Linked DNA regions of Elephas maximus indicus. Each later gene encodes a partner of the first gene's protein in a complex. Links are inferred from orthologs where the notes say so. Each region holds a gene or a part of one and is shown in the gene's direction. Other genes may lie near its edges.

Region 1 (7,656 bases):
CACATGGCCTGAACTCTGTGTGTGTGTGAAGCAAAAGGAGTAGTACACACACGTCTACAGCTACCTCTTTGCACACACAGTTCCTACCAACGGATGGTCCTTCCCTCCCCCTCCTGCCCGTGTAGAATCAGTTCTTACAGAGGGTCATAATTATTTCCAAATATTACTAGTCTGGTGACTTCCTCCTCCCAGTGGTTTTTCACTTTTTATTCCACCTCCAGTTCCTGGGCTGAGCCGTACCCTGGAACTGGCCCACCCCCCCCATGTCTTCCCAGGGAAGGGGGACCTTTGCAAATGGCATCCACGTGGGTAGGCAGGTCACAGCCACCGTAGCAAATAACTCATATTTATTTTGCGTAAGATTTTAATTTGTATATTTTTGTGATTTTTTTTTTTGGCAGTTATGAGTTTGACTCTCGGGGAGTTTTGTTGTTGAGTCTTGTGTCTTTTGTCACAAAACAATGATAATATTTGGTAAACAATATATGGAATTTATTTTTGATTGGTAATAAAAAACAAAATATGTATAAATCTTGGCAAGTCTACAGTTTGCCTGTTTGAGCTCTGTCTGTGTTCAGTATCTGTAATAGAGACAGAAGTGGCCGTGGTTGAGAGGTGGCTTCTTAACATAGGTACATGTAGCAGGACAAGGAACAAGTATCCTGGGACCATCTCACAGTAAAACGTTGGCAAGCAAAAATGGAATTTATAAAAAAATAGGTGTAATCCACAGAATGAGGGCTTACCCCTCTCTGACCTAAACTGAAGGGCACACTTGTTCTGTGTCCAGGCTGTGGCTTTACCCCAGCACCTGGTATGCACGCTGGGTGCTTTTGCTGTGAGACACGGTCATCTCTCAGAAAGTGATCCCCAGCTGGGCAGGGCTCCATGTTTCGATGTGCTTGGATTCTACACTATAAAGCCATCCTGAAAGTATTATGCTACTAAGCAAACAACGTGGAGGGTGTATATATATATATATATATATATATGGAGCCCTGGTGGTGTAGTGGTAAAGAGCTTGGCTACTAACCAAAAGGTTGGCAGTTCAAATCGCTGCTCCTCGGAAACCCAGCGGAGCAGCTGTACTCTTGTCCTATAGGTTCCCTCTGAGTTGGAATCGACAGCAGCAGATTTGGTTTTGTTCGGGTAAACCCCTACTGTATACCAGGTGCCACCAACTCCTTGGTGAGTTTACCACATAGTGAGGAAGACAGTCACACAAGGGCCTTTCAGCTTGCTGTTTCTTCCACCTGGAACACTTTCCCCCAGGTCTTTGTGAGGCTCATCTCCTTACTTCCCTTAAACCTTTGTTCAGATATCACCTCCTTTTAGAGGGCCTCCCAGATTACCCTGCCTAAACCAGCATCGCCCCAATCTGTCTCCGTAGCTTGCCTTGCTTTTTTCCATAGCACTTATTACTAGATATTAAAGGACAGATTTGTGTATTTTCTGCTGCCCGCACACTAGAATCTGAGTTCCACAAGGGCAGGGACTTTATATTCCCACCTTTAGAACAGTACCTGATACAGTGCAGTCACTTAGGAATGAATCAATCAATAGGTCTTAAGGTAAGTACTAGGGATGGGGAGCACATAGCACCCATAACTTCGACCCAACCTAGTCAAGATGAAGAAAGACCATCTGAAGGAAGTGGATTTGAGCTAAGACTTGAGAAGAGCAAGAGTTAGCCAGTGAAGTCGCACATAATAGGTATGGGTTTAAAACTCAAGAATAAATATTTAGGTAAAACTTGGAAATGTCCTGATCCAAACGGCCAGTAAGAAAAATGGCCCAGGAAGGGCCAATGAGGGCACTGGAGGTCAAGTCGCAAATGTCTCCACTGTGACTAACCAGGCGTGGGGCGAATGGCACAGAGCCAAGGGAGAGGCTGGTGAAGTACTGAGGCCTCTATTATAAACAGAAAACCACCCTGCGAACAGCATTGCTTGCACTGTACTAGATTCTTTGTCTTTGCATAGTGACAGCGTAAATGGCTGTTTGTGTTTTCCAAGTTTGATCCCGTTGTTCTGGTCAAAGGTTTTCCCCCAAAACAGGCTGTTTTTCAAGGGACCCTGAGGCCAAGGAAACAGTAACTTGTCAAAGGTCAGAGCCCCCTCTCCAAATTCAGAGAGTTTTCTCTGTCTGCCCTCTAGAACTGTTCCTTCATTAATGACTTTTCAATCATGTGACTCATTTGAGGTTCCACTTTTGTGTCATTTTATCTTGACTTGGAGATTGGAAAGTATGAGCTGAAGGGGTTGAATCCATTATAATGGACTCCCCCCCCCTTAAAAGGAACGGTGACAATCCAGTGGGAAACGTCAGCAGTGTCATCATTACTTCTGCCGGCAGGGGCTTCTCCTGTCACCTGCAGGAGTGAAGCAAACTGCTCAGCGCGGCTTATCGCCCTCTGGAGAAGACTAGCTGAAGAATGCGGAGATGCGGCTGGCCTGGTCCTGGCTCTGAGCCCACGATGCAGAAGAGACATTACTACCAGCTTTTAAAAAGCTTTTCACAAAATATTTTTTTCCTGTGGTCAGTCAAAGTTACACCACAGGCCTATTTTTGCACGTTATCGTTGGTTGCCATGGAGTTGGTCCTTACTCATGGCAACTCCGCGCAGCGGAGTAGGACTGCGCCAGAGGGTTTTCAAGGCCGTGGCCTCTCAGAAGGAGACTGCCAGACCTGTCTTCTGAGGCATCTCTGGGTAGGTTCAAACCACTAACCTTTTGGCTCGTTGTTGTTAGGTGCCATCAAGTCGATCCTGACTCATAGCGACCCTGTGTACCACAGACTGAAACACTGCCTGGTCCTGCGCCATCCTCATCCTCATAATTGCCGCTATATCCGAGCCCACTGTTGCCCTCACGATCATTGTTATGCTTCGGCCTGTTGTTGCAGCCACTGTGTCAATCCGTCTCATTGAGGGCCTTCCTCTTTTTTGCTGATCCTCAACTTTACCAAGCGTGATGTCCTTTACCAGGGAGACAAAGTGTGACCATCCTTGCTTCTAAGGAGCCTTCTGGCCGTACTTCTTCCAAGACAGATCTGTTCGTTCTTCTGGCAGTCCATGGTATATTCAATATTCTTCACCAACGCCACAATTCAAAGGCTTCAATTCTCCAGTCTCTGGCTAGTAGTCAAGCACTTTACCGTTTGTACCACCCGAGGACTTTTTTGTTTTGGCACATTACCTTCTACAAAAACACCTTTTACATGATTGTGGCCACAGTGCTTTTAAAATATCCTGTTATTTTTATGATACTGCAAATGCGTTTCTATAGGATGCTTTTGAAAGATCATTTTAAACAACATGTATGTCCTGGTAAATGACATGTAATCTTCTCAAAGGCTACTTACACTAGGAAACACAAAAGTGCATAAAAGTATCAAGAAAAACACAAAAGTCCTTTATTGTGGACCCTTGGAGAGAAGCCTTGTTGGCAGTTCTATTTCCTCCCAGTCGTGTACAGACCATTTATAACGAGTAAGGAACGCTCTACACTGTCAGTGGACCATACTGTCACGAAGTGACCACAGTGAGGGCCCTCTTGAATAGATCTTGGTCGCGAGGAATCATTTCCCAAGGACGAGTTGCTAGAAGTGGAGTTAGCAGACCCCACATCCACGCCGAGTCTTTGTGAGCTTCGCTTTTCTCCTGTAAAATGTTAGCAGTATGAAGCAGCTGTGAGGATCCAGTGACTTGTGTCTGCAAACTAACACAAGCTCCCTGAAGGCAGGGACTAGGTCTGACCTCCCCAGACCTACAGCAGAGTCGCGGCAGCGGACAAACACGCCCAGAACCTGAACGTCCCCTTGCCCAGTCACTACCGGGGGCGCTGTGGTGAAGAGCTCGGCTGCTAACCCCAAGTCGGTAGTTGGAATCCACCAGCCGCTCCTTGGGAACCCCGTGGGGCGGTCCCACTCTGCCCTACAGGATCCCCGAGTCGCTCAGTGGGTTGAGTAACTCCGGGTTGGTGGCTGCTTCCCAGGAGACCTGCACGTCCCCGGTGTTTAAGTCTCTGCCCGCAGCTTCATGTGGGGTCCGACCCAGAGGCCGCCCGCGCCGCCCCGCGAGGCCCGAGCCGGGGCTGCCCAGAGCGCGAGCCTCCGGGAGACGGCCACGGCGACGGCCGGCGGGGACGCAGCGCCCCCACCAGGCGGCCCCGAGGACGCGGACGTTCGACGCCCCGCGCGGCCCTGCCCGCTGCCCCCGCCTCGCGCGGCCCTGCCCGCTCCCCACGTCCCGCGCGGCCCTGCCCGCTGTCCCCGCCTCGCGCGGCCCTGCCCGCTGCCCACGTTCCGAGCCCCGCGCGGCCCTGCCCGCTGCCCCCGCCTCGCGCGGCCCTGCCCGCTGCCCACGTCCCGCGCGGCCCTGCCCGCAACCCCGCCGCCCAGGCCCGGCGCCCGCACCTTGTTTACTCGCCGGCGCAGCCTAGTCCGACCGGGGCCCGCCCCCGCTCGCCGCCCATTGGTGGAGGCGGCGCGGCGGCAGGCGGCGATTGGCCCGGGCGGCGGCGGCGCGGGGCGAGCGGGATAGGCTGCGCGAGAGCGGGCGGCGGGCGATGGCGGCGGCGGCGGCGGCGGCGGGTGGGCTCGGCTGGCTCTTGGCCGCGCTCTGCCTGGGCAGCGCCGCCGGGGAGGCCACGCCGGGCCCGCAGGTGCTGCGCTTCTGCCTGGAGGAGGACGCGGCCGAGGGCGCGGGGCGGACGCGAGCGGGGGCGGCGGGGGCCGCGCCCGAGGCCACCTTCCGCCTGCGCCTCTTCGGCCCGGGCTTCGCCAACGGCTCCTGGTCCTGGGTGGCCCCCGAGGCGGCCGGCTGCGGCCGGCCGGGCGCGGCGTCCGAGCGCGGCGTCCGGGCGGGCGAGTGGCGCGCGCTGCTGCGCCTGCGCGCCGAGTCCGTGCGCCCGCACTCGTCGCTGCTGGCCGTGCGCGTGGAGCCGGGCGGCGCGGCGGCCGAGGAGGCGGTGCCGCCCTGGGCGCTGGGGCTGGGGGCGGCCGCGCTGCTGGCGCTGGCGGCGCTGGCGCGGGGCCTGCAGCTGAGCGCGCTGGCGCTGGCGCCGGCCGAGGTGCAGGTGCTGCGCGAGAGCGGCTCGGAGGCGGAGCGCGCGGCGGCGCGGCGGCTGGAGCCCGCGCGGCGCTGGGCCGGCTGCGTCCTGGGCGCGCTGCTGCTGCTGGCCAGCCTGGCGCAGGCGGCGCTGGCGGTGCTGCTGTACCGCGCGGCCGGCCAGCGCGCGGTGCCCGCCGTGCTGGGGAGCGCGGGGCTCGTGTTCCTGGTGGGCGAGGTGGTGCCGGCCGCCGTGAGCGGGCGCTGGGCGCTGGCGCTGGCGCCGCGCGCGCTGGGCCTCAGCCGCCTGGCGGTGCTGCTCACGCTGCCGGTGGCGCTGCCGGTGGGCCAGCTGCTGGAGCTGGCGGCGCGGCCCGGGCGGCTGCGCGAGCGCGTCCTGGAGCTGGCGCGCGGCGGCGGCGACCCCTACAGCGACCTCAGCAAGGGCGTGCTGCGCTGCCGGACGGTGGAGGACGTGCTCACGCCGCTCGAGGACTGCTTCATGCTGGACGCCAGCGCCGTGCTGGACTTCGGAGTCCTGGCCAGCATCATGCAGAGCGGCCACACGCGCATCCCGGTGTACGAGGAGGAGCGCTCCAACATCGTGGACATGCTCTACCTCAAGGACTTGGCCTTCGTGGACCCCGAAGACTGCACGCCGCTCAGCACCATCACCCGGTTCTACAACCACCCACTCCACTTCGTGTTCAACGACACCAAGCTGGACGCCGTCCTGGAGGAGTTCAAGCGAGGTAACTGCTGGAGAATCGCGAGGGGACGCGAGTGCCTTCCCCTGGAAGAGGTGCAGGAGCTTTATGGAACCCTCCAGGAAAGGGTCCCACTCCTGCGGAGGGCAGTGAGACCTCCGAGGGCCCTTTTAAAGAAGGTGATGAACGACCTTTGGGGCGGGGGTATGTCCCCTTGGTGTAAGTCTCCAGCTCCTTCCCCGTCCCAGGCCTTTTCTCTGAGCTTTGGACTTTGTGGCAGGTCCAAACCCTTGAATAGAAACTTAAAGAACATAGTTTCCAGAGACCTAGATGCCGTTATCTGCACTCAGGTAATATCAAGTTAGCGTGACCTGTGGTGTTTCCAGGACATTGTTAGGTCGTTGATTGGCTCCTGCCTCCCAGATTCCAGAAAAGGGAATAACCTATAAATACTTTCTTACAAGTGTGAAAGAAGTTTTTCTTTTGATTTCACCAAAAGCAACTAAACGGGTGATGATTTAATTTTCTCTCCCCATCTACACCCCCCCCCCCCCGTTTTCTAACCTCCCCTTTTGTAATTCTGGGAGCCCTGGTTGCCCAGTGGTTAAAAACTCAGCTGTTAACCAAAAGGTTGGCAGTTCAAATCCACCAGGCACCCCTTGGAAGCCCTATGGGACAGTTCTACTCTGTCCAATAGGGTTGCTATGAGTCAGAATCAACTCATGGCAACGGTTTTTTCTGACTTGGAGTAAAGTCTCTCAAGTTCTCCTTTAATTCCACATCCTCGTCTCTTTCTTTTCACTCTGATTTATCTGAGCACCTCTTAAGGTTGAAGGTCAAAGCTGTAAGCCCCTCTGGTGTGAGTGTGTGGGCTCCTCTGTTGTCCTCCCAGTGTTGGGCTTGGGGTGCTCCCCAGAGCTTGGCACTCTCCTTGGCCACCAGACGTGCTTCTCACGCCTCAGCTCCCGCAGGATGGTGGTGGGGGCACCCCAAGACTCTAGTTGGGCTTGGCCCTGAAGGCTACTTAATGTCAGGCGGAGGAGCCCGCTGAGCCCTGTGATGTTTCTGGCAGCTGTGAAGTCTTGCCCCAGGCTGGCAGGGGAGCTGTTCTCTGAGCACCTTGACGGCCAGGTCAGGAAAGCAAGTCTTTGCAGTGATGACGTTGCCGCTGCATTGAACGCCGCTGTACGCGGCACTAATGGAGGCTCCGTCGTCGCTTTTAATCCTTGGAAGAGCTGGGTGTCGAGTAGTTGGGCAGTTACTGTTATTACTGCCGTGGAGACAGGTGGGCAGCTCTGATTGGTCTGCTGAAGAGAACCCCTCAGATGCTCCTGGCTGTTTCCCCAGGAAGTGGCCATGCAGCACTTCTGTGGGGCAGGGGAGCCCGGAGTAAGGGCCTCTTGGTGGTGAGTAACCTGTCTGGGCCACCATGGTCCCCCAGGCACCGGTGGTTCCTGTGGCGTGGTGGCCACCAGAGCTGGGCCTGGAGTCAGAGTTGGGTGGGCTCCGTCCTGCCCCTGCTGCCTCCCAGCTTGAGACCCTGGGAAGGCTGCTCATGGTCCAGGGCCTCATCTGTTAACGGTACCCAAACCAAAACCAAACCCACTGCTGTCGAGTCGATTCTGACTCATAGCGACCCGGGAGGACAGAGTAGAACTGCCCCATAGGATTTCCAAGGCTGTGGTCCTAACGGAAACATACTATCACATCTTTCTCCCACAGAGCGGCTGGTGGGTTCGAACTGCCAGCCTTTTGGTTAGCGGCTGAGCACTCAACCAGTGTGACACCAGGGCTCTTTTGCTAATGATAAGAGCTGGGAAAAGAATGCAACTGGAAGAAAAAAAAAAAAAGTAAAATTCTTAGCCCAGTGGCTGGCACGCATGCTCTGAGCACCTGTTA
Region 2 (7,828 bases), on another chromosome or scaffold:
CACACCTGGCCATGGCCGTGAGACTCCAGCTCTTACCTGGGACCTGAGCACCCTGACCACGTAGTCTATGCTGACCCCTCCTGTTGCCCCCCTTCCCCCCAATCCTGGTCACACTCTGAACCCTGATCCTGGTCACAGAGTCCTGACCCTGACCCCATGCTGAGCCGAGCCTGACCCTGATTTCACACAGAGCCCTGACCCTGATTTCACACTGAGCCCTGACCCTGGTCCCACACAGCCCTGACCCTGGTACCGCGCTGAGCCCTGACCCTGGTCCCGCACTGAGCCCTGATCCTGGTCCCACACTGAGCTCTGAGCAACTGGGTTAGCAAGGTCTCTGGTACAGGCAGAAGTGTCTGGTTGCTCCCAGGATGGTCCTCTGAAGGGTGGGAGGCTGGGGTATATTCATAGACTCCTTTCCTCCACTTGTGAAGCCTGTCCTGGGGATGGTAACTCCTCTGCCCTTTGGGGTTCTTATGCAGAAAGCAGAGAGAGGTGGGAGAATGTGGGGAGAAGGGGGGAGGCACTGTCCACACAAGCAGGGTCTGAGCTCACTTGAATGGGCCACTGCAGCTGCAGCCGAAATTGGAGGTCTGAGGGACGTTAAGCAGCCACCAGGGGCGTCCAGCCCCATGGTTACTGTCTGCATTCTATACGCAAACTCTTGTACCCAGATTTTTTTTTTCTTCTCTGAATGTACTAGTTTCCTAGCTAAGAACCACACACAAGGAGGATTAAAACAACAGAAATTTATCCTCTCGCAGTTCTGAGGCCAGAAGTCCACAGTCGGGGTGCCAGCTGGATTGGCTCCTCCTGGAGGTTCTGAGGGAGGATCTGTTCCAGGCCTCACTCCCAGCTTCTGGTGGCTGTCGGTGATCCTTGGCGTTACTTGGCTTGTAGCCACATCGCTCCAATCTCTGCTCTGTCTTCACATGGCCTTCTCTCTCTGTCTCTCATTGTCTCTCTTCTTATAAAGACCCCAGTCACTGGATTATGGCCTCCCTGATCTAATATGGGAGCCCTGGTGGCATAGTGCTTAATAACTTGGCTGCTAACCAAAAGGTCGGCAGTTGGAATCCACCAGCCACTCCTTGGAAACCCTACGGGGCAGTTCTACTCTGTCCTCTAGGGTCACTATGAGCTGGAATCAACTCGACGGCAACTGGTTTTTTTTTTTTTTTTATTAACTTTTATTGAGCTTCAAGTGAACATTTACAAATCAAGTCAGACTGTCACATACAAGTTTATATACACCTTACTCCGTACTCCCACTTGCTCTCCCCCTAATGAGTCAGCCCTTTCAGTCTCTCCTTTCGTGACAATTTTGCCAGCTTCCAACTCTCTCTATCCTCCCATCCCCACTCCAGACAGGAGATGCCAACACAGTCTCAAGTGTCCACCTGATACAAATAGCTCACTCTTCATCAGCATCTCTCTCCTACCCACTGTCCAATCCCTTTCATGTCTGATAAGTTGTCTTCGGGAATGGTTCCTGTCCTGGGCCAACAGAAGGTTTGGGGACCACGACCGCCGGGATTCCTCTAGTATGAGGCAACTGGTTTTTTAAAATCTAGTATGACCTCATCTCAACCTGATTACATCTGCAAAGACCCTATTTTCAAATAAGGTCACATTCCCAGATTCTGGGTGGACATGGATTTCAGGGGACACTAGTCAACCCAGTGGGGGCCTGGTGACGCAGTGGTTAGGAGCTCGGCTGCAAACAAAAAGGTCGGCCGTTTGAATTCACCAGCTGCTCCTTGAAAACCCTGTGGGGCAGTTCTACCCTATTCTATAGGGTCGCTATGAGCTGGAATTGGCAGTAGGTTTGGGTTTTTTTTGGTAGTCAACCCAGTACATTGACTTTACATTAACCGATAAGCTATTCTTTTCTTTTGCCTGTTCTTGACCTTCAGGACTGGAGGAGAATTCTGGAAGGAGAGTCCTAAGGAGGGTTTCCTGAGTGTTGGCTCTGTGCCAGCAGGACTAACCAGGCCCTTGACAGGCACCATCTGACCGGGCCCTTGACAGGCACTGTCTCCTTCTATGTTCTCAACAGCCCTAGGAGGTAGGCACCTGACTCTGACTCCATTTACATGTGAAGGAGCTGAGGCAACGAGGAGTTAAAGCAGGTGGCCCACTGACAGGGGTCCACCCCTGTGCTGGGGGCTGGCCCCTCCTCTGGGGGCCCTGCCGGGTCTGGGGTCAGGGTCTGGGGCCAGCCTTCTCAGCTGGCCACCACATTCTGGGAATCCACTTAGCACTGACCTTGTCTTTGTCCTCCTTGGCACTAATCTGCTAATCCTGCGGTCCAGCTCTAATCCTTTACCTGGGCCTCCTCCAGCGCCCCCAGCTTGGGCCTCCTCTCCGCCACGCTTTCAGTGCTGGGGGGGAGGTCCGCTGACTGGGGGGTAGTTGGGGAAGGGACCCTTTCTGTGGAATCTTCCTCAGTCCCAGGGAGGATTCTGGAGTCTGGAATCAGCAGACAAGGGCTGGATTCCACTCCACCTCTTCGTCGATCAGCTATCACCCCATTCCCCCTCCCATTTCTCCTCTGTAGCGCGAGGAGATCACGGCCAAGCCGGCCCTCCCCAAGGTGAAATCACCGTTCTTCTCCACCCTCCTTGCCCCACCTGTTCCATTCGCAGAGCTGCGGGCTCAGGCTCACCAGACCTGGGTTCGAATCCTGCCCTGCAGAATGGGGCTAGCTGTCCTTTCTCAGCTGGGGGCGGGGTGGGCTCCCAAGGGCAGTGGGGGGACGCCCCAGCATGTGGTCAGCACACAGTCAGTGTCTGAGGAGTGGATTGATCCAGAAGCAGCTATTGACTCCTCCTTCGCTCCCCACACCTGCGGGACACCTGGAACACAGAGCTGGAAGATAGCCCAGCCTTGTGCAGCCCATGGGGAAGGACAGAACACTGCCCCACGGCACAGGGCATTGGGATACAGGTCGCCCTGAGATTTTGTGGGACAGCATGATATGTATGTCTGGGTTGGGGGGGGGATGCTTAGGTGCTGCAGCCGAGTTTAAGCTAAACATTAAAAAAAATAATTAGAGTGGACCCAAAGTCCCACAATAAAGTGGGCTGCCTTAGAGGTGCTGAGCTCACCAACAGTGGGGGCATTTAAGTGGAGGATTTTTCTTTCCTAGGACTCCACATGTGCCTGGACTAACAGCACAGGCTTCCTATCCACCTCTGCTTGGACATGCACAGACAGGCCTGGCTGGCTTTGTGGCTCAGTGTGGGAGCCCTGGAGCCAGCTCTACTCCCGACTTGCTGTGTGGCCTTTGGAAGTTGCCTAGCGCCTCTGTGCCTCCTCTGACACAGCCCAGCTCTGCAAAGCCCTGCCCGCTGCCGCCAGCTGCCTTGTTGGGAGGAAGCATGGAGCTCCTGGGCACCACCCACCTGCAGCCACCCATCTGTGTGCCAGAAGCTGGTCCTGGCACTATGGGCACAGCTGGGATAAGCCAGGTGAGGTCCCTGTCAGTCAAAGGTCAGTGGTGTGTGTAACTGCCCAGCAGATGGGCTGAGAGGGGGGCTGCCAGCAGCGGCTGAGCTCTCAGGGGAGGCCGTGATTGACAGCAATGTGATGGAGGGATGGCACTGGGGGGACAGTCTGGGCAAGAGTTTCCAGGCAAAGGAAACAGCCCATGCAAAGGCCCTCAGGTGGGAACGATCCCAAGAATTTGGAGGAATGTGAAGGTGAGCGAGGCTGCGGCAGCAAGCTGGGGAGGGGGTGGTGGTGGAGGGAGGGGTGTGGAGCACCCGCCAGGCCAGGCAGCCTTGGGGACCAGCGAGGGCTCTGGCCTCACCTGGCGAGGTGGCCCTGCAGGACTTTATGCAGAAGAGGGTGCATTCCACTCTTGCCTTCGAGGGGTCAGTGCAGCAGCTGAGGGTGGATGGGTGGAGGGGCATGCTCCCTAGGGGAGTGGAGACAGGGCCTGGGCAGGCTGCCAGCCTGAGGGGAGGGGCAGGCCATTTGGTTGGGCAGGATGAGACTCCCCAGGGACCCAACAGGCCCACCTCTCTGCCCCTGTCCTGGGCCCCTGCACGTGCCACCAGCCTTTCTTCTCTAACCCGAGCCATGAGCCTCCCCGGGAAGGCTGGTCCAGAAGGTACCCCCCGGCACAGCAGGCAGCTGGTGGCTGAAACCCCTCCTCCTGGGCACCCCGTGTCACAGAGGAGTGGAGGCTGCTGAGGCTCGGAGGTGGACCCCGCTACACCGGCCTCCCTGCCCACCAGGATCTGTGTCTCAGTTACAGGGACAGCTGTCATTTCGGAATCCCATTGGGTGCGGGTCTGGTGGGTCCGCTCTGGACACACGGGTGCTCAGGCAGCCCCGCCCTGTATACCCGCTCAACGGAGGGGACTGGGGCTTGAACCAATCGGCCAGGAGAGTGCTACCCGGGCCCATCCCCGCGACAAGCCCTCCCGGAGGGGCGGGGGCCCAGCTCCCCTGGGGGAGATGGGGAAACTGAGGACCCCAGAAGTCTCGTGGGCGCCTGGCCTCCGGACTCCGCCCTCAACCCTTTCGCGCGCCCGCCTTCCTCATCCTCACTCGGGGTTCCCGCCGGCCCCGGGCCCCACGCCTCGACCGGCCTGCCAGGGCCACGGCCACGGCCACGGCCACGGTCAGACCCTGCGTCAGCCCCCAGCAGCCGGTCCCCGTCTGCTCCCACCGGACGCGCGCACGACCGCAAAGGTGGAGAGCGTTCCCATTGGGCCGCGCCCCCCACGTGACCTGGCGGTGCGGTGCGCCCAGAGCCGGGGCCGCGCCTTTGCGCGCTCGCGCGGCTCAGTCGTGGGCGCACGGGGCCGTGTGCGCGCGTCCCGAGCCCTCGCCCGCTGCGCCGGCGCCGCCGCCCGGACCAGGTCAGTGTCCCCGCGCCGCTCGGGGCGGGGCCGGCGCTTTGTGCGGCGCGCGGGGCCGTCGGCGCGCGGGCCGGCTCTGGGCACGGCCTCGGGGCCGCGCAGGCGGGAGGGCCGCCGCCTCCGTCAGTCCTTCGGTCCGCCGGTCCCTCCCTCCTGGCCGGCTCACCCTGGCGCTGGAGGCCCTGCGCCCGGAGCACGGCTGTCGGCTGTCACGTGCAGGGCTGAGCCGGGAAGGCGGCCCAGGGGCGCCCTGGCCCGCGGGGAGACCCCGCTCTGTACCCTGAGTTTATCTTCTCTAACGCCCGTGTGAGTCGGAATCGACTCGACGGCAGTGGGTTTTTTTTGGTTTCAACGCCCGTCCAGGGTCTGGCTAGTTCTGCCCCCGGCTCAGTTCCATCTCTGCACTTTGTGGGGAGACCTGGCACCAGCACGCCTGCCAGTCAGAACCCGCAAGGCTTCCCTGCCGGGCAGGAAGTGAATGTCTGAGGCAGCCCAGTTCCAGGTCCCACGGACCGAGGTTCCAGACCTGGCTCAGACCTGCACACGTGCTGGGCATTCAGGCAAAGCCTTGCCTCTTCATGCAGTACCCTGGCTGCAGAACCAGGTCCAAGGCTTTGTCCCAGGGGCCCCAGGGATTAGACAGGTGACTCCCAACACACAACTGGCAGGGTTGGGGTTAGGGTGGCATCCCCCTGGCCTGTCCTCTCCTGAGCCCAACATGTGACCCTGCAGGCCCGCAGCCTGGCTGTTGAGTGAGCCTGCTTGGCAGCTCTGTGATGTGGGGTCTAAGGGCTGGTACAGGGTCCAGCCATTGTGGTGTGCTGGGTGTCCTGAGCCCTGGCACACAGATGCACACCACCCCTCCTTCCCTGGCCTGTGGACTCTGGGTCAGCTCTGCACATGATGGCAGTGCTGGGTGTTGGTGTGGTGTGCAGACTCCGGGTACGCCCTGCTTCTAGGCTGGAGACGGCCGCCAAGACAGCCCTCAGTGAGCTGTTAGGGGGCCAGCTGGCAGTTGGGGGTCAGAGGCACACAGAGCACCTGTGATCTGGCCCAAACTGAGACCACCTGGCAGCTCTGTGTAGATGCTATGCTTTACTCCACTAGCAGCAGGTTTGATGGGAGGCCTCAGGACAGGTGTTCCGGCCATGTGGGAATTCCCAGGCTGCTCCCTCAAATAGACCCTTGGGGAGCTGGCTACCCCCGATGCTTGCCAAGCATTCACTCTGGTGCTGGACTTGAAGGTGGGCGATGGGGCCCACCCCTCCGGAGCTCACCTGCTAGTGGGGTGGGGCAGGCAGGGGTAGGACAGGCCATGGACAGTGTGCCGGGAGAAAGTGCAGGTGGGGGGGGGCAGGCAGGGGTGGGACAGGCTGTGGACAGTGTGCTGGGAGACGGTGCAGGCAGGGATGAGCTGTGCCCTTCAGCCTGGTTCCTCACTTGCTGACCCCTCCTCACACACGCCCTCCTCCAGGATACCTCCCCTGGCTGTGGGGACGTGGCTGGGGGCCTCAGCTGGTCCCTATGTCTCCTCAGTGCCAGCTCAGGGCCTGGCTATGGGTAGCTGCCCATGCAAGTCAGCAGCAGGGGCTTGTGGGTGGAGGAGAGCTGGATTGGTGGCCTCTCAGCAAGAGGGCGATGGAACCTGGAGTCACCAAGCCTGGGTGGGCTTGAAAGTGAGGTCAGGGCACTGGGCAGGGGCTTGCTGGTAAATGTTGAATGGAACCCTGGCTTGTGGTTTTGCCGCTCTCCGTGGTGTGAGTACTCCCACGCTGCCTTTGCTGCCCCTGGAGCTGGGACGAGATGCGCATGTGGACCCCGTCACCTCCCCCCCCCCCCACTGGGATGGCAGCGGAGTGGTGGGCAGTGTGTCGGTGAGTGTACTGACTTCCTTGGGGCCTTCTGTGCAGTTGGGGACTCCGTCTCACTAGGCAGCAGGCCCTGGCAAAAGGGCCTGTTAAGTGGAAAGGCCACTTAAGTGGGGTCCATGTGGCATTTTGCCAGAGGAGCAAAGAGGGAGCTGCCGGGTCTGGAGGCGGCAGAGACCTGCGGTTACTCCCCTGTCTTGGTCACTTAGTGCTGCTGTGACAGGAATACCACAAGTGGATGGCTTCAACAAAGAGAAATTTATTCTCTTTGGAGGCTAGAAGTCTGAATTCAGGGCGTCAGCTCCAGGAGGTTTTCTCCCTCTGTCAGCTCTGGGGGAAGGTCCTTGTCACCAATCTTCCCCCAGTCTAGGAGCTACTCAGCACAGGGACCCCAGGTCCAAAGGATGCACTCCCCTCCTGCTTCTTCGTTCTTGGTGGTGTGAGGTCCCCTCTTTCTACTCGCCTTTCTCTTTTATATCTCAAAAGAGGTTGACTCAAGATCAAACCTAACCTTGTAGATTGAGTCCTGCCTCGTTAACATGACTGCCTCTAATTCTGCCTCATTAACATCTCGGAGGTAGGATTTAAAACACAAAGGAAAATCACATCAGATCACAAAGTGGTGTACTATCACACAATACTGAGAATCATGGCTTAGCCAATTTGACACACATTTTGGGGGGGATACAATTCAATCCATAACAGCCCCCAAGACCTGGGCCTTGCCTTGGTTACCCGAAGGCCTGAAGCCAAACCACAGGCCTCCACCAGGTGATGCACCGTGGTTTCTCACCTCTGCCACATGCTGTGCGCTGGGCCTGGCCGGGCCACCTCCTACAGGAAGCCTTCCCAGCTGCCGGGTGCATGTTGCTTCCTGCCAGGCCCTGCACCGGTGGGCCCTCCCCACCTCCACGCCACTGCCCTCACTGTCACCTGCCTGCTCTGGTCCCCAGCACCCCTCTGTCCACAGATGCAGCAGGGCGAGGCCAGGCTGGAGCACAGGCTTGCTGTCATGAGGGCCCGGCTCTGCGTCTTTCCGGTCACTTCACGTCTCGCCTGCTCAGTGTTTGCCCCTGTAAACTGGCA
Region 3 (7,962 bases), on another chromosome or scaffold:
TCCTAGAACACTCTAAGCATGTCCCCACCTCATAACCTTTGCTACAGTTAATCCTTCTGTCTAGAGTGTTCTTCCCTCAGATATCTACTTGGCTCACACCCCTAGGTCTTGCATAAAATGTCACCTTTTTTTTTTTCTTTCCAGTGAGGCCTTTCCTGATCACCTGTTTAAAATTGGAATCTCCCTCCTTTCTGGCACTGTTGATTCTCCTACTTTGCGTTTTTCTCCATAGCAGTGGCATATTTTATTTATTTGTTCCCACCGAAATGAGATAAGAATTGTTTTTTTTGTTTACTGCTCTTGCTGCACCTATAAGAATGCATGACATGTAGTATATATCCAGTAAATATTTGTTGAATTAGTAAATTCTTAACTAGCCAGATAGCGTAGAACATGTCTAGTTCTTCATGAAGATAAGTTCTTTACAGTTGATAGATAATTCATACTTATTTTAAGGGGAAGCGCCTGTTTCTTCACTGAAGTGAATTTGTTTTAGGAAAAAATGGTTGCAAAGTTTTAGTTTTATATACAATATGCTTTTATGTTGCCTGATTGTAGAAACCAAGCTGACTCAAATTTGCAAGACTTCCTGTAGAATTTCTGGTAAGAAAGCAACACAGTAAATGTATGCTTACTTGCTCTTTAGACTTTACTTTTAGATTTTACTTCCTTAGATTTAGAATTCTTTCACTGTGTGTTTATACTATAATGTGACTTTAATTTGAAAATATAAAGAGGGGATTTCTCAGTGGACGACTGAATGGGGCAGATTGATAGGATGTTTAAAAGGATGCCCAGTAAGATTGGGTTCCATTAAATGGAGCTACGTTATGTAGAAAGTTCCCTCACACCCTTGAATTCTCTGTTTTTATATTTGAACTTAGAATTATAGTAGCCAATGCAGGATGTAAATTTTACTCAGTTATTTCGTAGGCATAACAAAGAAAACAACTATCTTTCTGGAATGGTTTAGATATGGGCCTGCCTAGGGCAGAGGTACTAGCCCTCTTGAGGCTCTTTCTAATCCCATGATTATAGCACTGTTGAGAAAGTAGTTAAGTTACACAGGCAAGTCTCCTGGTTACAAACGAGATCTGTTCCTAAGTGTGTCTTCAAGTTGCATTTGTAGATAAGTCAGAACAGGTGCATATGGTTCTTATTTAGCCTCCTTTTAGTGCAAGAAAGGCTAGAAGCCTTTTCAGTGATCTAAAAGCTCCACTTGCAGCAAGTGAAGGTGATCATGATGAAAAATTTGTTGTGAGCAGGTTTGGTTCAGTCCTTTCAAAGTGAGGGCAAATTTATATAACATTAAAGGGCATGCATTAAGTGTAAGTCAGATGTTTGTAACCCGAGGACTTACTGTAAATCATTGCAGGGTTCTTTATCATCCTTTTTCATAAAAATTAAAAGTAAGATAATATGTGTACTTGGAAAAAAATGAAAAAGATTCGAAAGGTAAGCTAAATCATGCTCCTGACCTCTAGCCCTCCAGCTCAGCACCCCACCACTGCTATTAGTCTTTGTAATCTTCCAGATAGTCCATGTTTTTGAAAAATATATACAGTACTCACAAATATTTCTATAAAACTATTCGAATTGTTCTGCGCCTTGCTGTTTTTGCTTATTGGTGCCTTTAGTCATGTTTCCATATCAGTTCATATAGATCTGTTTTATTATTTTTAACCTCTGTGTATTTTCCACTTTAAGAATATTCTATAATAAAATAAATGATGGCTATTGTTTCATGCATTTTGACTTTTATGTAGGTAGATGTTAGCAGTAGAATATTAACACTGGACTTGCAACTGTTTCTAACATGCTGTTAGGTGCTGCCTAGTCGATGCCGGCTCAGTGACCATAAAGGACAGGGTAGAACTGGCCATAGGGTTTCCTAGCCTGTAATCTTTATGGGAGCAGATCACCAGGTCTTCTTTCCTGCAGAGCTTGCTGGTGGGTTAGAACCACTGACCTTTCAGTTAGCAGCCAAGTGCTTAACCATTGCACCACCAGGGCTCCTTGTTTCTAACACAGCCCTCTGCAAAGTTTTAAGTAGTCTCTGTTGTGTCATTGACTTAGTTTTACTGGCAGTGCACTATCTCAGTTTCATAGGCTGCTCAGTTGCTTTTCTTCCAGCTCTCCCTTTCTTCCTTCCCTCTATCCTGTCCCTTCCTTTTAATTTAAAAGGATTTGTCTGTCACAGACCATCCTTTCTAATCAGCGAAGTTATATTCTTTAGTTAAAAATCATTGGCTCGGAAATGGAAATATCCCCAATTCAACATTTTTAAAGTTAGATTCTGTAAAAGATAAAAAAGGTGGAGAGTACATTTGGATGCATATTTGAATTTGACTGCTGTTAGATGTTAAGTAAACTAGCCTCTTCTATCACCTAGTATATTAAAACAAAATTTTATTTTTACTTAAGTAGGTAGAGCAGAGTTAATACCAGACAGAAAACTTCAGAAGAATTTCCTCTAGGTGTACAGGTGCTGAGCTTACACTAAAACGTAGGGCTCTGCAACTTTTGAGTGCCTTCCAGCTGTGGTTGGTTGTTTATGACTTTTTACAGTCTGTTTGCTTTGCGTTCTTATGAGTGCCAAGGGAGTTAACATTAGTTTATCTGAATTGACAGGTGCATAGAATTTAACTGTTGATGCATAGTTGAACCCTTGGTGGGGGGGCGGGGAAGGGAACAGAAGCTTGCTTTTATTGTGTATCTGTTAGCATTGATAGAACATACTGTTTCCTTTGGCACAAATTTCTGGGGATCTCAGTATGGTGTTAAGAATTGAAAATGTGATAGTGAATTACCATCCCTGGAAGTAGTCTTCCAAAGTGAGTTCGGAGGAATAAAATGGGATAAACCTTGGCTCTGTTTGCTGAGTAGACAAACATTGGAGACTAGGTAGAAAACTTAATGCTAGAGCCATAACCTTTTAAGCCTGGCGATTACTACAATGCGGCTCTGTCAGTGCATTTCCTCAGCTGACATGTATTAGCTCTGATAACACCATTGAACCAAAGGGATTCAACCAGGTTAGAATTTCCTTGTGTTTTGCTCTGCACTGCATGCAGACCCTTGTTCTTTGAGTAGTTACTTTTATAATCTTCCCCCATTATAAGGTCACAGAGTTGCAGATGAACATGCAAAGAAATATTTGAAGAAAAGTTACACTTGCATGAAAAAGATTGGGTATCCTGGTACCTCCGTTAGTCTAAATTGAAGGAGAAATGAATAGGAAGTCAGGAGACCTGAGTTCTTGATCTGCTACTTAATTAGCAGTGTGATCTTAAGTAAGTCGTTTTAACCTCTCTGAACCCCGAATATCTTCATTTTTTTAAGAAAAAGAGGGTCAGAGTAATGGAGCTCTAATTTTCTCCTAGCTCTTAATAAAATTCCTTGACTGTGCAAGGAGTACACTATGAAATATTTTTCTTGCATAATCTAGGTGGCTTTGTTTGGGGTTACAGTTATCAGTTAAGAATGGTGGTGTGTATACTTTTGTTTTCTTAGTTTGAGTATAGTGTTTTTATAGTACTGGATAACACATTCTGCGGAGATTAATGGAAGTTCTCGGAATGCCATTTTGAATTGCTTGTGTATCTTTCATATTTTAGGAATGTTTTAGTTTTATATTTGTATCCATAGTAATATAATCACAAGTATGTGACTTATGAAATAAAATACCATAAGAATACCATAAAAAGAAGAATTGCAGGTATAAGAATAAGCTTGAAAGTTTGGAGGCCTAGGTTCTTTCTTATCGATCTCTATCTCAGTTTCTTCCTGAAAATGGTTCTGTAGTCATTCTTTTTCACGCCTTTTTCTATCTGACCACCTTCCTCTTTTTTAGAGACTTAAATAAGCATGTATTGGTGGCTCGGTGAAGAGGCAAGTGAAAGAACTAGACCTTGTCCAGGTTTTCAGAGGAATTTATGATTATGTTGACACTCTGACTGAGACAGCTATAAAGATTACTATGTTTTAAAGCAGCAGGCCTAAAATAATATTAAAAATTTTGGCACTTGTCTTTTCTTGCCTCGTTTTTTGTAGGAATTAATATTTGGGGAAGAGGAAAGCTGTGTGAGTCAGTGACCTTTCGATGCTTTTGTATTCCTAAGGCAGTGATGTGAGAAATAGTAAAAACCTTAACTGAACAAAAAACAAAAAGGTGGGATTTATACAATAGTTGAGTCAGTAGGCATTATGGTACATTGGAAAGAACACTGGATTAACAGAAACTTGTGTTTTTTTTTTTGTGTGTGTGTTTGAATTTAGGTTCAACTAATCCATTGTGTGACCATAGACAAGTCATTTCACTTCTCTGACCCTCTTCCTCATTTCTCATGGGTAGTAACATCTACTCAGAATTGTAAGGAAACGTAGATAATATTTTGGAAGTACGTTGTGAACTCACATCATAATTGGGGGCCAGCGTATATACTTTGAATAGAAAGAATTTTCAATCCTTGGAGGAGAATTTTGGTAAATAGCCTTTACCTATTCATAGATACACCATATGTAAGTAAAGAGTGTTATGAGAAAGTTCTTACCATTAAAGCAGAAAAACAAGGAGATCGTTGGGCACTTTATGAATAGAGTCCATGGAAGGAAGGCTTCTTTAAGTTACTGGCCTTAATCATTTAAAAATGACTTGAATTAGAAATATCTTACCATCCCAGGAACTTTGTTGAGTCCAGTTTTGAAGAAAAAAAAAAAAAAACCAGACACACTTGATTTTCGAATCTCTGATTTTTGAAAACTCTTTACATAGTTCTTAGATGGCAGAATTTAGACTTGGTCATGTTTCAGACGTCTACACTTAGAACAAATGCGTTCTTTACTTCTGGCATTGTGTTTACTATGCTGTCAACCTCCAGTTCATTTTACTTATGCTTCCCTCCCCTCCCCCCAGGTTTTTCGTTGGAATATACGCTGCACATTTATGGCGATTCTGAGTGTGAGGGCAGACTTCTGCCAGGCTCAGCACAGCATTTTCGCTGACAAGTGAGCTTGGGGGTTCTATGTGCCATAATTAACCTTGCCTTGAAGACTCCGGACACCGAGACTGGCCTCAGAAATAGTTGGCCTTTTTTTTTTTTTTTTTTTGTTAATTGCAAGCATATTTCTTTTAATGACTCCAGTAAAATTAAGCTTCAAGTAAACAAAGGTGGAAAGCGACCTACACTTTTAACTTGTCTCACTAGTGCCTAAATGTAGTAAAGGCTGCTTAAGTTTTGTATGTAGTTGGATTTTTTTGGAGTCCGAAGGTATCCATCTACAGTCATTGTGGCCCAAGTTGAATTTGGATTCGAGTGGATTCTAAATACTTCTGCTTATCTGGAAGAGAGAAGCTTCTTAAGGAATAAACAAGTTGAATAGAGAAAACACTGATCGATAATAGGCATTCTAGTGGTCTTTTTGATGTTTTCTGCTGTGAAACATTTCAAGATTTATTGATTTTTTTTTTTCATTTCCCCCATCACACTCACACACACGCACGCTCACTTTTTATTTGCCATAATGAACCGTCCAGCCCCTGTGGAGATCTCCTATGAGAACATGCGTTTTCTGATAACTCACAACCCTACCAATGCTACCCTCAACAAGTTCACAGAGGTAAGATTGTAGCATGGTCTACCTTTTAAATTGATTTATTGGTTAAAATCTCATTAAAAATTAATGCCATTATAAAGAAATCTGGAGCCCTGGTGGCACAGTGGTTAGGAGCTTGGCTGCAGTTCGAATCTACCAGTCGCTCCTCAGGAACCACATGGGGCAGTTCTGATCTGTCCTGTAGGGTCACACTGAGTTGGAATCGACTCAACCACAACAGGTTTTATAAAGAAATCTCATATTACAAAGCCATTTACTTTGGTGATTGGCATGTGGATGGTTATATTAACAATCCTTGGTTGAACTGGGTTGAATTTGTAGCAGCGGATTTTTAAAAGAAGAGCATTTTTAGAATTTTGCAGAATTTTAGAGATTATTTATGAGTCAGAATCGACTCGACAGCAACGGGTTTTGTGGTTTTAGAGATTAGTACCATATTTTTTCTTGTATCCTTTCTACATTTGTCAGCAGTTCTTTTGTCATACTTTCAAATAATAAAAATAACATTTATTGAATACTTAGTATGTATCAGGTAGTATGTATTGTAATTAATTTTATGCATTGTATCATTTATTCTCACAATAACCCTATGAAATATAGGTACCATTATTCTCTCCCTCTTATAGATGACGAAACTGAACTTCAGAACAATTTAGTAATTTGCCTAAAGGTGCACAGTAAGTGAAAGAACAGGGATACTTAACTGGTCTCAGACGTTGAAGCCCGTGTCCTACCCCAGATATTCTAATTGCCTTGGTAAAGAGCCATCCCAAAACTATGTAGCAACAGTAATCATCATATATACGGCTGAGAAAACTTGAGGAATGAAAAGGTGTTAGGTAGCATTTTTTATTTGATTTCTTTTGCTTTATCTATGGAGTAAACTTAGAGGTGGGCTTCTAAGCCCATCCCTCTCATTTTACAGATGAAATGAAAGAGGTTTTGATTTGCTTAAGGTCATGAATACTTACCATGAAAAATTCTACCATAACCTTTCAATGAATAGTTACTATGGAGTTCATTTTAATGGAATTTTTAGTGGCATTTTGAAACCTGTTTTTAAAATTCCTGACTCAATATAATACTTAAACTTTCCTGAGTGTCTAGTATAAGGAGGCTTTTCTGTGAAAGGTCCTTTAGCAATTAAAATAACTTTACTGTTAGATAACTAAATGGTGGACACTTGCAGGGATATCACTGTTCCTGCTTATTTATACCTGTAATTCCTTAAGCTTCTTAACTTTGTGTACACAGTGTGCAAGTTGACTCCAGGCCTGTATGCCCTCAGGTTGTTCAGTCACCTTTAAGCCTGCCTGAATTATGGGATACTATTTTCAGCTTCTGGATTCCTTGGCTATAGACTCCAAAAGTGGCAGAGGCCACTGTCCTGCAACTATAAAAAGATGTTGGTGGCCCTGTAGAAAGGGTTTTAAGGGAGCAAGGCTTCTGGCTATAATTGTGTTAGCTAGCTTTTTAATATAATACCATTTTTTTCCTTTCAATTTCAAAACTACTTTTATTGTTTCTTTAAGAAATTATTAAGTGCTTATTACATAAAAATCAGAAGATACAGATTAGCAAAAAGACAATTTAAAAACACCTGACTCTTTATACCTGGCTTCCAGGTGTTTTTCTGTGCATATACGTGTGTATTTATAAGTAAGCGTATAAACAGGATCACACTGTATGTTAAAAAAAATCATCTCCCCAACCTCTCTAGGATTTTTTAAATAGCCATTATAGTATTCTGCTGTATGGATGTACCATAATTTACTTAATCATTCCCCTGATTTTGGACAATGTTGTTTTCACTTTTTTGCCATTCTAAACAGCTGTGGTGAATATGCTGGCACCTGAATTTTTATGTATATCTTTAATTATTTGATTAGTGTAAAGTCCCAGAATTGGAATTTCTAGAGCAAAGTATATATGCACTTTTAAAGTTTTGTGTTACACTCTCAGTTTGCCCTGTAGAAACGTGAGTCTTCTTCATAATCCCATGGACAGTGCATACATGTCTTTTGCTGAAATGAGAATTATTATTTTGATCTTTGTCTATTTAATAGGATAAGAATGATATCTTGTTTCAATTTATAATGGTAATTTCTGAAGCTCTGGTTGCAGATTCCAAAAGCAAGTCCCTTTGTTTTTCTTTATAAAGGAACTTAAGAAGTATGGAGTGACAACTTTGGTTCGAGTTTGTGATGCTACGTATGATAAAGCTCCAGTTGAAAAAGAAGGAATCCACGTTCTAGTGAGTGTGTAATGTTTTAATTTTTCACCTCAAACAAGTTGTACCTTTCAAACATAAAAGCGAATTTATTAATTTTGACTTTTAAGCTTATT

Evidence for each region. The genes of interacting proteins can lie anywhere in the genome.
Region 2: the proteins of CNNM3 (region 1) and PTP4A3 are in contact, whole or in part, in a crystal structure (PDB 5TSR), measured with the Homo sapiens proteins. The link is inferred for Elephas maximus indicus from reciprocal best matches to the Homo sapiens genes CNNM3 and PTP4A3. Residues at the interface, in NP_060093.3 of Homo sapiens: Ser357, Asn358, Phe394, Asp396, Lys418, Val419, Asn421, Glu424, Gly425, Asp426, Pro427, Phe428, Tyr429; in NP_001425170.1 of Homo sapiens: Asn5, Pro7, Asp72, Gly73, Ala74, Val105, Ala106, Leu108, Gly109, Arg110, Arg137, Arg138, Gly139, Ala140, Ile141, Asn142, Lys144, Gln145.
Region 3: the proteins of CNNM3 (region 1) and PTP4A2 are in contact, whole or in part, in a crystal structure (PDB 5K25), measured with the Homo sapiens proteins. The link is inferred for Elephas maximus indicus from reciprocal best matches to the Homo sapiens genes CNNM3 and PTP4A2. Residues at the interface, in NP_060093.3 of Homo sapiens: Leu390, His391, Phe392, Val393, Phe394, Asp396, Thr397, Glu405, Ala414, Gln417, Val419, Glu424, Gly425, Asp426, Pro427, Phe428, Tyr429; in NP_001356788.1 of Homo sapiens: Met1, Asn2, Arg3, Pro4, Asp69, Gly70, Cys101, Ala103, Leu105, Gly106, Arg107, Arg134, Arg135, Gly136, Ala137, Phe138, Asn139, Lys141, Gln142.

What each region holds. Positions count from the first base shown.
Region 1 is NC_064835.1:88,301,883-88,309,538, reverse strand, and holds the start of CNNM3 (metal transporter CNNM3), read left to right. Parts: upstream 1-4,561; 5' UTR 4,562-4,568; coding exon 4,569-5,802; intron 5,803-7,656. UniProt on the Homo sapiens protein: Probable metal transporter.
Region 2 is NC_064833.1:3,362,058-3,369,885, reverse strand, and holds the start of PTP4A3 (protein tyrosine phosphatase type IVA 3), read left to right. Parts: upstream 1-4,791; 5' UTR 4,792-4,874; intron 4,875-7,828. UniProt on the Homo sapiens protein: Protein tyrosine phosphatase which stimulates progression from G1 into S phase during mitosis. Enhances cell proliferation, cell motility and invasive activity, and promotes cancer metastasis.
Region 3 is NC_064821.1:72,868,143-72,876,104, reverse strand, and holds the start of PTP4A2 (protein tyrosine phosphatase type IVA 2), read left to right. Parts: upstream 1-4,925; 5' UTR 4,926-5,523; coding exon 5,524-5,619; intron 5,620-7,777; coding exon 7,778-7,870; intron 7,871-7,962.